Linked DNA regions of Macaca fascicularis. The protein of the gene in region 3 purifies or fractionates together with the protein of the main gene of each other region. This does not show direct contact. Links are inferred from orthologs where the notes say so. Each region holds a gene or a part of one and is shown on either strand. Other genes may lie near its edges. The genes, in order: ACOX1, PECR and PEX5.

The links.
Region 1: the proteins of PEX5 (region 3) and ACOX1 purify together in Homo sapiens (affinity purification with mass spectrometry; 3 studies listed by BioGRID, with this or other methods). This does not show direct contact. The link is inferred for Macaca fascicularis from reciprocal best matches to the Homo sapiens genes PEX5 and ACOX1.
Region 2: the proteins of PEX5 (region 3) and PECR purify together in Homo sapiens (affinity purification with mass spectrometry; 3 studies listed by BioGRID, with this or other methods). This does not show direct contact. The link is inferred for Macaca fascicularis from reciprocal best matches to the Homo sapiens genes PEX5 and PECR.

The regions. Positions count from the first base shown.
Region 1 is NC_088390.1:82,392,411-82,396,323, reverse strand, and holds the start of ACOX1 (peroxisomal acyl-coenzyme A oxidase 1), read left to right. Parts: upstream 1-1,559; 5' UTR 1,560-1,620; coding exon 1,621-1,729; intron 1,730-2,000; coding exon 2,001-2,160; intron 2,161-3,913. UniProt on the Homo sapiens protein: Involved in the initial and rate-limiting step of peroxisomal beta-oxidation of straight-chain saturated and unsaturated very-long-chain fatty acids.
Region 2 is NC_088386.1:111,946,895-111,950,707, forward strand, and holds part of PECR (peroxisomal trans-2-enoyl-CoA reductase), read right to left. Parts: intron 3,301-3,813; coding exon 3,204-3,300; intron 1,125-3,203; coding exon 1,014-1,124; intron 1-1,013. UniProt on the Homo sapiens protein: Participates in chain elongation of fatty acids. Catalyzes the reduction of trans-2-enoyl-CoAs of varying chain lengths from 6:1 to 16:1, having maximum activity with 10:1 CoA. Has no 2,4-dienoyl-CoA reductase activity.
Region 3 is NC_088385.1:8,173,692-8,177,604, reverse strand, and holds the start of PEX5 (peroxisomal biogenesis factor 5), read right to left. Parts: upstream 2,665-3,913; 5' UTR 2,164-2,664; intron 2,091-2,163; exon of another isoform or gene 2,018-2,090; 5' UTR 2,002-2,017; coding exon 1,855-2,001; intron 1,584-1,854; coding exon 1,548-1,583; intron 1,246-1,547; coding exon 1,113-1,245; intron 896-1,112; coding exon 764-895; intron 1-763.

The DNA.
Region 1 (3,913 bases), on a different chromosome or scaffold from region 3:
ATCACGAGGTCAGGAGATTGAGACCATCCTGGCTAACATGGTGAAACCCCGTCTCTACTTTTAAAAATGCAAAAAATTAGCCGGGTGTGGTGGCGGGCGCCTGTAGTCCCAGCTACTTGGGAGGCTGAGGCAGGAGAATGGCGTGAACCTGGGAGGCGGAGCTTGCAGTGAGCCGAGATCGCACCACGGCACTCCAACCTGGGCGATAGAGCGAGACTCTGTCTCAAGAAAAAAAAAACAAAAAAAAAACAGTGACTAGAGATGATTCAGCAAATCCGTGAATCTCCCTTGTCCACAATCCCACTGGGCAGAATTGTTTTTTGTTTTCTGTTTTTTTTTTTTCCTGTAGAGATAGGGTCTCACTATGTTGTCCAGGATGGAGTGCAATGTCACAATCTTGGCTCACTGCAACCTCCACCTCCGGTGCGCAAGCCACCATCCCATCTCAGCCTTCAGAGTAGCTGGGACTACAGGCGCATGCCACTACACCCAGCTAAGTTTTTGGTATTTTTTGTAGAGATGAGGTTTTGCCATGTTGCCCAGGCTGATCTTCAACGCCCGGGCTCAAGTGATACGCCTGCCTCGTCCTCCTAAAGTGCTGGGATTCCAGGCTTGAGCCACGGCGCCCGGCCCTACACTAGGTTTTAACAGTATTTAAGTGTGCATTTCCCACTTTGATGACGATAATGGCGAAAGCAAAGAAGTCTGGATTCCAAGACCTCTAGTAACTGCGAGGTTGGGGGGAAAAAAATGTCGGCTTTCCCAGATAGAAGGCTTACAGCAGCACTGCCCGCTCGGCCTCATTCTAAGTCCGCGTCCACCCCTTAAACAGCGGGCAGCGCTCACAATCCCACACCCAGGGCCCCGGAGCCCACGCCTCTGCCAATAAAGACGTCATTATTTTAACAAAAGGTAACTAGAGCCTCTCCCCAAAGAGACTTTGGTTCCCGTCCCATTCTCCTCCAATCCGGGTGGATTTGGCAAAAGCCCAAATGACCCTCCCTAGCAATTCCGCAAAGCCAGTCTCCCACTCCAGGTTCCTGAGTCTCCCCGACCCCTCTCATTTCAGAGATGCCTAGAGACACAGACCCGGAAGCGGGGAGAAGTCGGGCGGGCGGGGCGGGGGGCGGCAAGCGCAGGCGCAGTCCCTCCTCAGCCTCGTTGTCCCGCCCCTTCCCAAGGCCCCCAACCTGTTCTGGGCGTCGCCGGGTCCTCGGATTTCCTCTTTCCGCCCCGCGTGGTCACGTGACGGGAGAGGTGGCGGGATACAAAAAGTGCTTTACTTTCCCTCTCCCCGAACGCCCCGCGGGGCAATTTCTTGACCTTTGGAGCCCCTTTCCCGAGGATCCGCTCGGGAGCCTCCCCTGGCCAGGAGCAGAGGATTCGTCTGCCCCGCGACCGGCCCCAGTCACGCCGCGGACATCGCCCCCTCTGTCTGGGCGGTTGTCACTCACGCGCCGAAGGGCCTCGGAGAAAGAAGGGGCGGGCCGGGCGAGCGGAGGCGGGGACTTGCGCGCTTCTGAGGCTGCCTCATAGGGCCCGGCCGGCGCTGGAGCTGCGGGTTTAGGTTGTCACTGCCACCTCCGTCGGTGCTTACTTCGCTGCCAGCTGGTCGTCGCCATGAACCCGGACCTGCGCAGGGAGCGGGATTCCGCCAGCTTCAACCCGGAGCTGCTTACACATATCCTGGACGGCAGTCCCGAGAACACCCGGCGCCGCCGAGAGATCGGTGAGGGCGGCGGGCGAGACCTCCCTCCTTTCCTGAGAAAACCTGGAGACTCCCTCGATGCGGAGTCAGGGGCGCTATGGGGCCCAGGCCCTGTCGCCCAGCGTTAGGGGAGCCGGGACCCCCACTTCGAGGAACAGCCTGTGTTCCTGGTGGGGGGATATCGCCATTCCCGAGATGTGTCCGCGACTCTGAAGCCTATTGTGATTCAGGGAGGGTGGAACGGAGCCCCGAGTGTCTGTCTGCCTTTTAATGCCCTTTAACCCCCTTCCAGAGAACATGATCCTGAACGACCCAGACTTCCAGCATGAGGACTTGAACTTCCTCACTCGCAGCCAGCGTTATGAGGTGGCTGTCAGGAAAAGTGCCATCATGGTGAAGAAGATGAGGGAGTTTGGCATCGCAGACCCTGATGAAATTATGTGGTTTAAAAAGTAGGTATGCCTTAGCACAGAGCAAGTGTTGTTAAGCCTGAACTTTAAAGCTGCTGTCTGTGGTGGCCTTTCACCACCGTGCTTGGCGTTTGAAGATGCAAACTGGCATATTTTCATGCCACTTTATGAAGTTATATATGTGCCCAGGCGCGGTGGCTCACGCCTGTAATCCCAGCACTTTGGGAGGCCGAGGCGGGCGGATCACGAAGTCAGGAGATCGAGACCATCCTGGCTAACACGGTGAAACCCCGTCTCTACTAAAAATACAAAAAATTAGCTGGGCGTGGTGGCGAGCCCCTGTACCCTGTAGTCCCAGCTACTCGGGAGGCTGAGGCAGGAGAAGGGCGTGAACCCGGGAGGCGGAGCCTGCAGTGAGCCTAGATCCCGCCACTGCAGTCCAGCCTGGGCAAGAGTGCGCGACTCCGTCTCAAAAAATAAATAAATAAATAAAGTTATATGTGTGGAAAATAATGTGATTACTTTTGTATCCAAGCCTTTTCGTGGGATGACGTGTTTGTAGAATGTTGATAATAAATGGAAATGCAGGAGTTTTCTCGAGTACAGTTTCAAGGATGTTGTAAAAGCATTATTCTGCCCAAGCAACTCAAATTTGACTGATTTGAATGCAGAATCATTTTGCTCTTTGTAACGAGGACGGCTAAAATTCTGAATCTGGAAGGATTTTTTTTTTTTAGTTGAACGACCATTTAAATATTTTGGAGCGGCCGGGCGCGGTGGCTCAAGCCTGTAATCCCAGCACTTTGGGAGGCCGAGACGGGCGGATCACGAGGTCAGGAGATCGAGACCATCCTGGCTAACACGGTGAAACCCCGTCTCTACTAAAAATACAAAAAAAAAAAAAACTAGCCGGGCGAGGTGGCGGGCGCCTGTAGTCCCAGCTACTCCGGAGGCTGAGGCAGGAGAATGGCGTAAACCCGGGAGGCGGAGCTTGCAGTGAGCTGAGATCCGGCCACTGCACTCCAGCCCGGGCTACAGAGCAAGACTCCGTCTCAAAAAAAAAAAAAAAAAAAAAAAAAAAAAAATATTTTGGAGCAGTAGCAGATTATATTATATGGTAGTGTGGACCTGGATGAAGAATAATCAGTCACGCCTCTGAATGAATAGAAAGTCTAAGAACCCAGTAGTTCTGAATCGATGACAGCGCTTGAATGGTTGTCTTGTGCATATGAGAGAGATGTCATAAAAACCTCCCTTGGTTCTAGTGTGGAAGAGAGTATATCCTTTTTTCATACCATGTGTTTTATTGTGTTTTTTGTTTGTTTTTGTTTTCGTTTTTGTTTTTTTGAGATGGAGTGTTGCTCTGTCGCCCAGGCTGCAGTGCAGTGGTGCGATCTCGGCTCCAACCTCCACGCCCCCCAATTCAAGCCATTCTCCTGCTTCAGCCTCCGGAGTACTGGGATTACAGGCGCCCACCACCACGCTCGGCTAATTTTTGTATTTTTAGTAGAGATGGGGTTTCTCCATGTTGCCAGGCTGGTCTCAAACTCCTGACCTCGTGATCCACCCTGCTCCACAAGGAGCGGTAAAAATAAATAAAAATAAGGATTTTGGGCCGGGCACAGTGGCTTATGCCTGTAATCTCAGCACTTTGGGAGGCCGAGGCAGGTGGACCAGCCTGGCCAAAATAGTGAAACCCTCTCTCTACTAAAAATACAAAAATTAGCCGGGCATGGTGGTGCGCTCCTGTGGTCCCAGCTACTCGGGATGCTGAGGCAGGAGAATCCCTTGAACC
Region 2 (3,813 bases), on a different chromosome or scaffold from region 3:
TTTTGTTTTTTCATTTATGAAACTGATGCACCACCTACTGCCCTAAGGAGGCAGGTGATTTTTTGTTTTGTTTTTCATTTAGAGGTAAGTTTACTACTAGATATTTTCATTTTTATTGTTGTGGGAAAGACATCCTTTTCCTAAAAAAAAAAAAAAAATTACATTTCAAGACTGATGCAAAGCTAGGTGCTGTGGCTCACACCTGTAATCCCAGTACTTTGGGAGGCTGAGGTGGGCATATCACTTAAGGTCAGGAGTTCAAGACCAGCCTGACCAACATGGTGAAACCCTGCCTCTACTAAAAACACAAAAATTAGCCGGGTGTGGTGGCATACACCTATAATTCCAGCTACTCGGGAGGCTGGGGCAGGAGAATCGCTTGACCCAGGAGGTGGAGGTTGCAGTGGGCAAAGATCACGCCACTGCACTCTAGCCTGGGAGACAAAGAAACTCTGTCGAAAAAATCATCACCGTCATCATCGTCGTCCCAGCACTTTGGGAGGCCAAGGCAGGAGTTCAAGGCTGCAGTGATCTATGATCACGACACTGTACTTAGCCTGTAACAGAGTGAGACCCTGTCTCAAGCCAAAAAAAAAAAAAACCACAAAGACTGCTGCTGCTGGCATTTTGGAAAGCCGCTGATTTTACAGACTTCAATCTTACCAAAATCTCATGTGGAACTTCCTATGGCCATAATTGTCTGACTTGCTTAGAGTCCTAGGGTCCTGTGTACCAACAAATGCCAGGTAATAAAATAATGGGATGAAAATACAATAAAACAAACTGGAAAAAAACGCTGTTATTAATTTATACTACATTCACTCTCAAGTACAGATTGCTGTCAGTAGTCAAAGCACAACCAGAGTATATCTGAGAGCCAGAAAGAACAGGGGAAATGATCTGGTGGCAGTGGGAGAAATAATGTCATCCAGACCACATAAAAATGACACTGAATTACAAATTCCAAAGTACAACACACAGCAATTCTAATCAATGCTGGAAATATGCCTTACCTCCTCAGGAACACCAATTCGTTTAGCGGGGATTTTCTGAAAAGAACTTTCAAAGAGGCTTTGTCCGAAAGAACCATAGTTCTCCGCAGCAGTCTGGGAATAAATAATTCCCTGTGTTTAAAAATAAAACAAATTTAGTGCATTACACTAAATGCACTAAAATAAAGTGCATTACATTTTAATTATAAAGATATCAAGATAGCCTACTGGCATTTCAAACATTAAGTAGCTTAAGTCAAAAACAAGTGAACAGTGCTGATATTAATTTTCCTCCATGTTGTCAAAGGAGTACAGTCCCCATCATCCTCAAATGGATGATCTCAATGGTTATTTTGTGACCTCCTCTTCCTCCTAAGCATCTGGATTTTTTCATGAAAGACTTGCTTTCTGAAGGTCATGATTATGTAAGTAAATGAAAGAGGCACTTAACTTGGAACAATGGGACAGGGGACTCTGTCTATTTTAGTTTCCATTTGGCTTCTCTGCTTTACAAGAGAAGACTGGGCAATGGCTACGTGAGACTTAGAAAAATGCAATATTTTCTTGGCTTTTTACCTAGATTGAAATCGCAAATAAAGCATTTGAATCCAATACCAATAAACTAAAATGTTAATTGTTTCGAAATTTTTAAATGTATCTTTCGCTAGCTTTCTAAGGTCAGGAAAATTACTCAAAAACTGTATCCCAGGCCAGGTGCAGTGGCTCATGCCTGTAATCTCAGAACTTTGCAAGAGCGAAGCTGGAGGATCACTTGAGCCTAGGAGTTTGAGACCAGCCTGGGAAAAAAGGGAGACTGTATCTTTACAAAAAATATAAAAAAGAATTAGCTGGGCATGGTGGTACACGCCTGTGGTCCCAGCTACTCAGGAGGCTGAGTTGGATCACTTGAGCCCAGGAGGTCGAGGCTGCAGTGAGCCGTGATCGCACTACCGCACTTCGCCCTGGGCAACAGAGCGAGACCTTGTCCCAAACATAAAAAAAGAAAAAAAAAAAAACTGTATGTCACAGGATACAGCCATTTGTAATGGATTCAAACTGTTAAACAAATTATGGCGAGGAGGGGAGGAAAGCAAAGTTAAAATAAAATTAGAAAATTTGGCAGTTTTAATTACTTCAAATGATACTGGAGAGATATAGTGGCTTCCAATTACACAATATGTTGCCTTTTATTTAAAGAGGATAAAATCTAGAAGTATGAAAATTTGGTCATTAAACCAAAAAAGTCTCTGGAAGGCAAACATGAATTAGAACTAGTAGGAGTGCCTTTGTCAGAGATGAGTTTACTAACTTCATGCTTGAAGTCAGGCATGCTTAGCCTTCACTGAGTGGCACATATAACACCTATTGACATCACAGAGATAAGATCTACAGATAGGCCGGGTGTGGTGGCTCACGCCTGTAATCCTAGCACTTTGGGAAGCCAAGGTGGGTGGATCCCGAAGTCAGGAGATTGAGACCATCCTGGCTAACACAGTGAAACCCCGTCTCTAGTAAAAATACAAAAATTAGCCGGGGGTGGTGGCAAGTGCCTGTAGTCCCACCTACTTGGGAGGCTGACGCAGGAGAATCACTTGAACCCCGGGAGGCAGAGGTTGCAGTGAGCCAAGATCATGCCACTGCACTCCAGCCTGGGCAACGGAGCAAGACTCCTTCTAAAAAAAAAAATACCCAGAATCGAGAATCACTTGTTTAACATTCTTGACAATCTGGCTATAAATCAAAGAGTACTTCTGTAATGATAATTAGACTTTCTGGGCTGGGTGCAGTGGCTCATGCCTCTAATCCCAGCACTTTGAGAGGTCAAGGCGGCAGATCTCCTGAGCTCAGGAGTTCGAGACCACCCTGGGCAACACGGTGAAAACCCATCTCTACTAAAATACAAAACTTAGCCCGGGGTAGTGGCGTGTGCCTGTAGTCCCAGCTCTTCAGGAGGCTGAGGCACGAGAATCACTTGAGCCCCGGAGGTGGAGGTTATAGTGAGCCACGATCACACCACTGCACTCCAGCCTGGGCAACAGAGTGAGACTTCATCTCAAAAAAAAAGAAAATTAGACTTTCTCATTTTATCTATGTTTTAAAGTCAATCTTTTATGCTACACTTGCATATTACCAAATACCTCTATCAACACCACAAATGGAATCAGAGAAGCATAATTTGTCAATAAACTTCAATATAGATCGTTTACCTACAGGGGCAACACAATTGATCCTTACTCCACTGCAGGCCCATTCCAAAGCTAAAGATTTGGTGAGGTTGTAAACACCTGCTCTTGCAGCTCCAGAATGCCTTTGAAAGACAAAACATAAACATGACAATCAGCTTCTGTTGAGTATTTCTCTGGTTCACCAAGCTGGCAGGTATGCCAACTACCTGACAATTCCACCAGAGACTTCTTCCTATGGAGTCTGTCTTGTTGAGCTTCTGTCTAAACAACAAAGAAAAAACTATGTCCTTCAGTATTAAATCCAAGCCACAGCTGATGATCAAGCAACTCTCACATGGCATAGACCCAGATAAGGCTCCTCAAATCACTATGCAAGAGGAATACTTTCAAGAACTTTGATTATAAAGGAAAACATATCGGTAATTTTCAGGATTTCAAGCATGTGGTTGTTTTTAAAATCAATTTTAAATAACAAAGGTGGCGAGGTGCAGTGGCTCACACCTATAATCCCAGCACTTTGGGAGGCTGAGGCGGGCAGATCACCTGAGGTCAGGAGTTCAAGACCAGCCCAGCCAACATGGTGAAACCCCATCTCTACTAAAAATACAAAAATTAGCCAGGCATCGTAGCAGGCA
Region 3 (3,913 bases):
AAGAGGAAAAATTAGGCTGCGACCTTTAAATCTGTAGCAAAGCAAGAAGAGCATAAATTGCAGGCCTGGCAGTATAGCATCACAGTTAAGGCCGCAGGGTCAGGAATCTTTCAAATCCAGGATCAAATCCCAACTCTACCACTGACAAAGCTGTGTAACCTTGGGCACACTTCACCTCTAAGCCTCAATTCTCTTATCTTTAAACTAGGTCTAAAAACAGTAACTACTCTCAAGGAGAGTAAGGAGACAATGCATTCAAAGCATGTAACACAAGGCCTAGAACATAACTATCATTATTATTTTTTATTATGATCATCATGGTATGGTCTTTACCTTCTAAAACCACATATTTCAGGCACTTGAACGTCACAATACTCTGAAGGCCCCAGTTCTGTTCAAAATAACTTAATGCCAGAATCCCAGGTGCCGCAGTGAATACTCTCCTCTTCAGCAACACTGCCATCCATCCAATCTGCAGATCCTCTCCACCAAACCACAGTGATAAAGCTCCAGGTAACAAAAAGGACAACCTACCTCTTCGTTCTCTCTATCCAAAAGCTCTTATCTAGTACAAACCCAGTCCTCTGTTTAATATACATTTCATTCTGTTATCACCTAAGGGAAATTGAGTTCAGTACCCTAACCCTCTAGAAATGAGTCATGAGGCCAGAAAAATCATAATCACGCTACACCCTGAACAGGGGAAGGGCATAGAATTCTGCCCCATAGAAGCCAGTATAGATTTTCCCATAACAAGCTTCACCTGTAACTTCAGAGATGAATTCTTGGGACCAGTCAGTCTCATTATAATCCTGAGTTACATCCACAGCATCTCCAGCTGCAAGAAACTCCTGGGCCCAGTTCTCAGACAAGGCCAAGTCTGCCACACCAGGGGCTTAAAAGAGAAAGAGAGAAAGAAAACTAAGACAGAAGCAATACATACCATTCCATCATGCCTAAAGAACCCTGAGTACACGTGAAAACACTCTGTGACTTTTTCTGTCTCCTTCTGCATCTCAGTTCCCCAATGCCAGCAGCATCCAATGGAACCCCCTTCCTTGGCCCTGGCTACATGGAAAACAATCTCCCCTCCCACTAGACTCCAGACTCACCTCTCTGGGGAGCCTGGCGGAAGTTTGACTGTTCAATCTGCTGCATCTCAGCCAGGAGGTCATCCATCTTGAAGGTCTGAGGGGCACGGGACACAAGGGGTGCATTCTGGTCCTGCAGGAATTCAGCCACCAACTGCCAGAAGAGAAATGATGAAATGAACCCATAGGGTCAGGAGGCCCCAGCAAAAGACAGGACCTACTGGAGGGGGATCCCAATGTCAGATACAAGGAAAGGAAAACACAGAAACTGGAGACACACAAACAGAAATTGTCTTTGCATAGATTTAGAAGCACAAAAAAATACATTTAAAAACAAGCAGGCATTCTCATTTGGTCAGGAAAGCCCAAAAACTGAAATATGGGTGAACTAAGTTTAAAGGTAAAAACACAATGGGCAAGAGAAAAATGGGACAGAAAAGAGACTGGTCTATTTACCTCATCTTCAGAAGCTACTCCCAAAGGCTTGGAGGCCTAAGAGAGAAAGACAGAGACGCAAAATGGTGCAGTTCCTTTAAAATGAGGGGTTGATGAAGACCACAGGCATCTGAGCCTCGGTTTGTCCATCCATAAAATGGTTGCCTTTATTTAAAGGTGCACAAGGTTTTCTAGTGTTTAGTAAACGCTCATTAAGTGGTAACTACTATGATTTGCAACACAATAGAGAAAGCAGTTATACCAACATGTACAAACAGCCCCTCCACCTCAGACCACCACCTGGACTTTCCACCTCAAGAACACTCACTGCCTCAGAGGCTGGGGCTCCAGGGGGCCAGGGGCCAGGCCTCAATCCCTCCTGCCGAAGGGCCTTGTCCTGGGTGAAGTGCCCGGCTAGCTTCATGAGCGGGTTGGCACCCCCGCATTCGGCCTCCACCAGCTCCCGCATTGCCATGGTGACCGCCAGCTCTCTGATGGACACAGGAGGTTTGGAACTGAAGTACCGAAGCCAGACTCTTCCCAGACCCACAACTCTGCCCGCACCTGAGGAAGGCACACAGGCGTCTGCCCCGCACTGGCCGCCCTCCACCCCAGTGCCTTTTGCTGTGACCCCCACCTCTGCCAGGAGTTCGAGGGAGGTCGGTACTCTCTCCTGCCGCCCCCCTCAAAGGCCACCGCTTCCAGCCTGTGCCTTTGCAGCGGCCTCCACGACTACGGTCTCATGGGCTGGGGGCCAGCAGCCGCCCCCACAAAGGGGCCTGGAACCCGGGGGACTACGGGGACGCTTCAACAACCGGGCTGGACGGGTACACTGCCCGGGCAAGGGAGAGTGGGAAAACAGCCCGACCATACCCAGGCCCCCGCAGCCCCAGCATACGGTGAGCACCGCAGAGGGGCATTCCCTCCCCCTAAGTCACCGGAGCCCTTCCCCCGGCTCCGCCCGGTCCCTCCCGGCTCCCCACCGCCCATCTCCCCAGCCCTGCTGCCGCTCCAGCCCCGCCCCTGGGATCCGCGAGACCACCGCAAGGGTGGGGAGGGCCCAGGGACGCTGTCCCGCGCCCCCTCCGGGTCATGCGCTCACCGCCGAGCGCCGCGCCGCACGACCCGCCGGGCCACCAGGTGCGGGCTTGGGGGAGGGGAGAAGGGGGGGCGGGGAGTCAGGGGGCGGGGCTCAAACTTAAAGGGGCCGTGACCGCCCTGCTGCGGCCCAGGCCCAGCGGAAGCTGTCTGAAGAGGCGGGGCCTTAAGACTGCGTTGCAGCCTGACGGGAAGAGCCGTGAGTCTTAAAGGGGAAGAGCACCTTAGAGAGCAGGTCTTGGAGAGTCGACTCTAGGAGGGCTCAAAAAGGCCACGGGCCCTAGGATTTGTTTGACGGTAAGCTCAAAGAAGAATGGAGCTAAGAAGGGCTTCCCACGTTCTGGGGGAAAGCCTAAGACGCGAGATCTTAGGCTCAGTTGATCCTGCCTCTTCCCTTGGGCGCATTGTGACCCAAGGGGATTCGCTGCCCCTTCTGAGCCTCAGTTCTCCCCTCTAAAATGGAGCTGGCTAATGTTCCCAAGCACAAGAAAGAGAAAGGCCCTAACACCAGGGACTGGGGAGTTCAGTCCGAGGCCTTCTTCAGCCTCCTAGTTCTGCCCCACTTCCAAATAACCCCTAGCGGGGCAGCGTCACTGTCTCCATGGAGACAGGGGCCCGCCCCCGCCTCAATCCCTCTCCACCTCTGCATAATGGGGAAAATAGCACTGAATGATGACAAATTCCGGAGACCAAAATAGGGTCCAACGCATCCTGAGATCTCGAGCTGGTAACGTACAGGGAAGGTGTACAGTGAGTCAGCCCTTCCTTCCACTAAGTCAACATAGCGGCCTTATTCCCACCACTCCAGGCTGGGAAAGCACAAACATACAAGAAATGCTTTTAATCACGGAATAAGACTAAGCCTCAGGCCCCCTCATCTGCCAGAGAATGTGCTCTGCTGTCAAACCTCAAAGTCATTGGGAAACAAACCCCGATAATCTCACCCGGCTTCAAGAGCAAGGGAGTCCTAGTGTCACGGAGAAGAGCAAGGAGGGGCCCAGGGCTGCCGGTAAATGAGCAAGGGCAGTAGTGCCAGACGAACAGAAGTTCCATCCCAGCTCAGGGTGCACGAGCAGAGAGCCAGGCAGGCAGCAGGTGGCGCCATGGGCCGGGCTTGTTCCCTGGCTGCTCTGCAGATTTCAAAGGTGGAGGCCTCGGGGCGGCGGGGCCCACAGGGAATGTCTGTGTAAACTCATCCCTGGGAAGACAGAGAAGCTGTTCTGACACCTCAGGGGAACAGAATGGCAGGGGAGAGACCATAAGACTGTGCAACATTTCTCCTTTTCCTT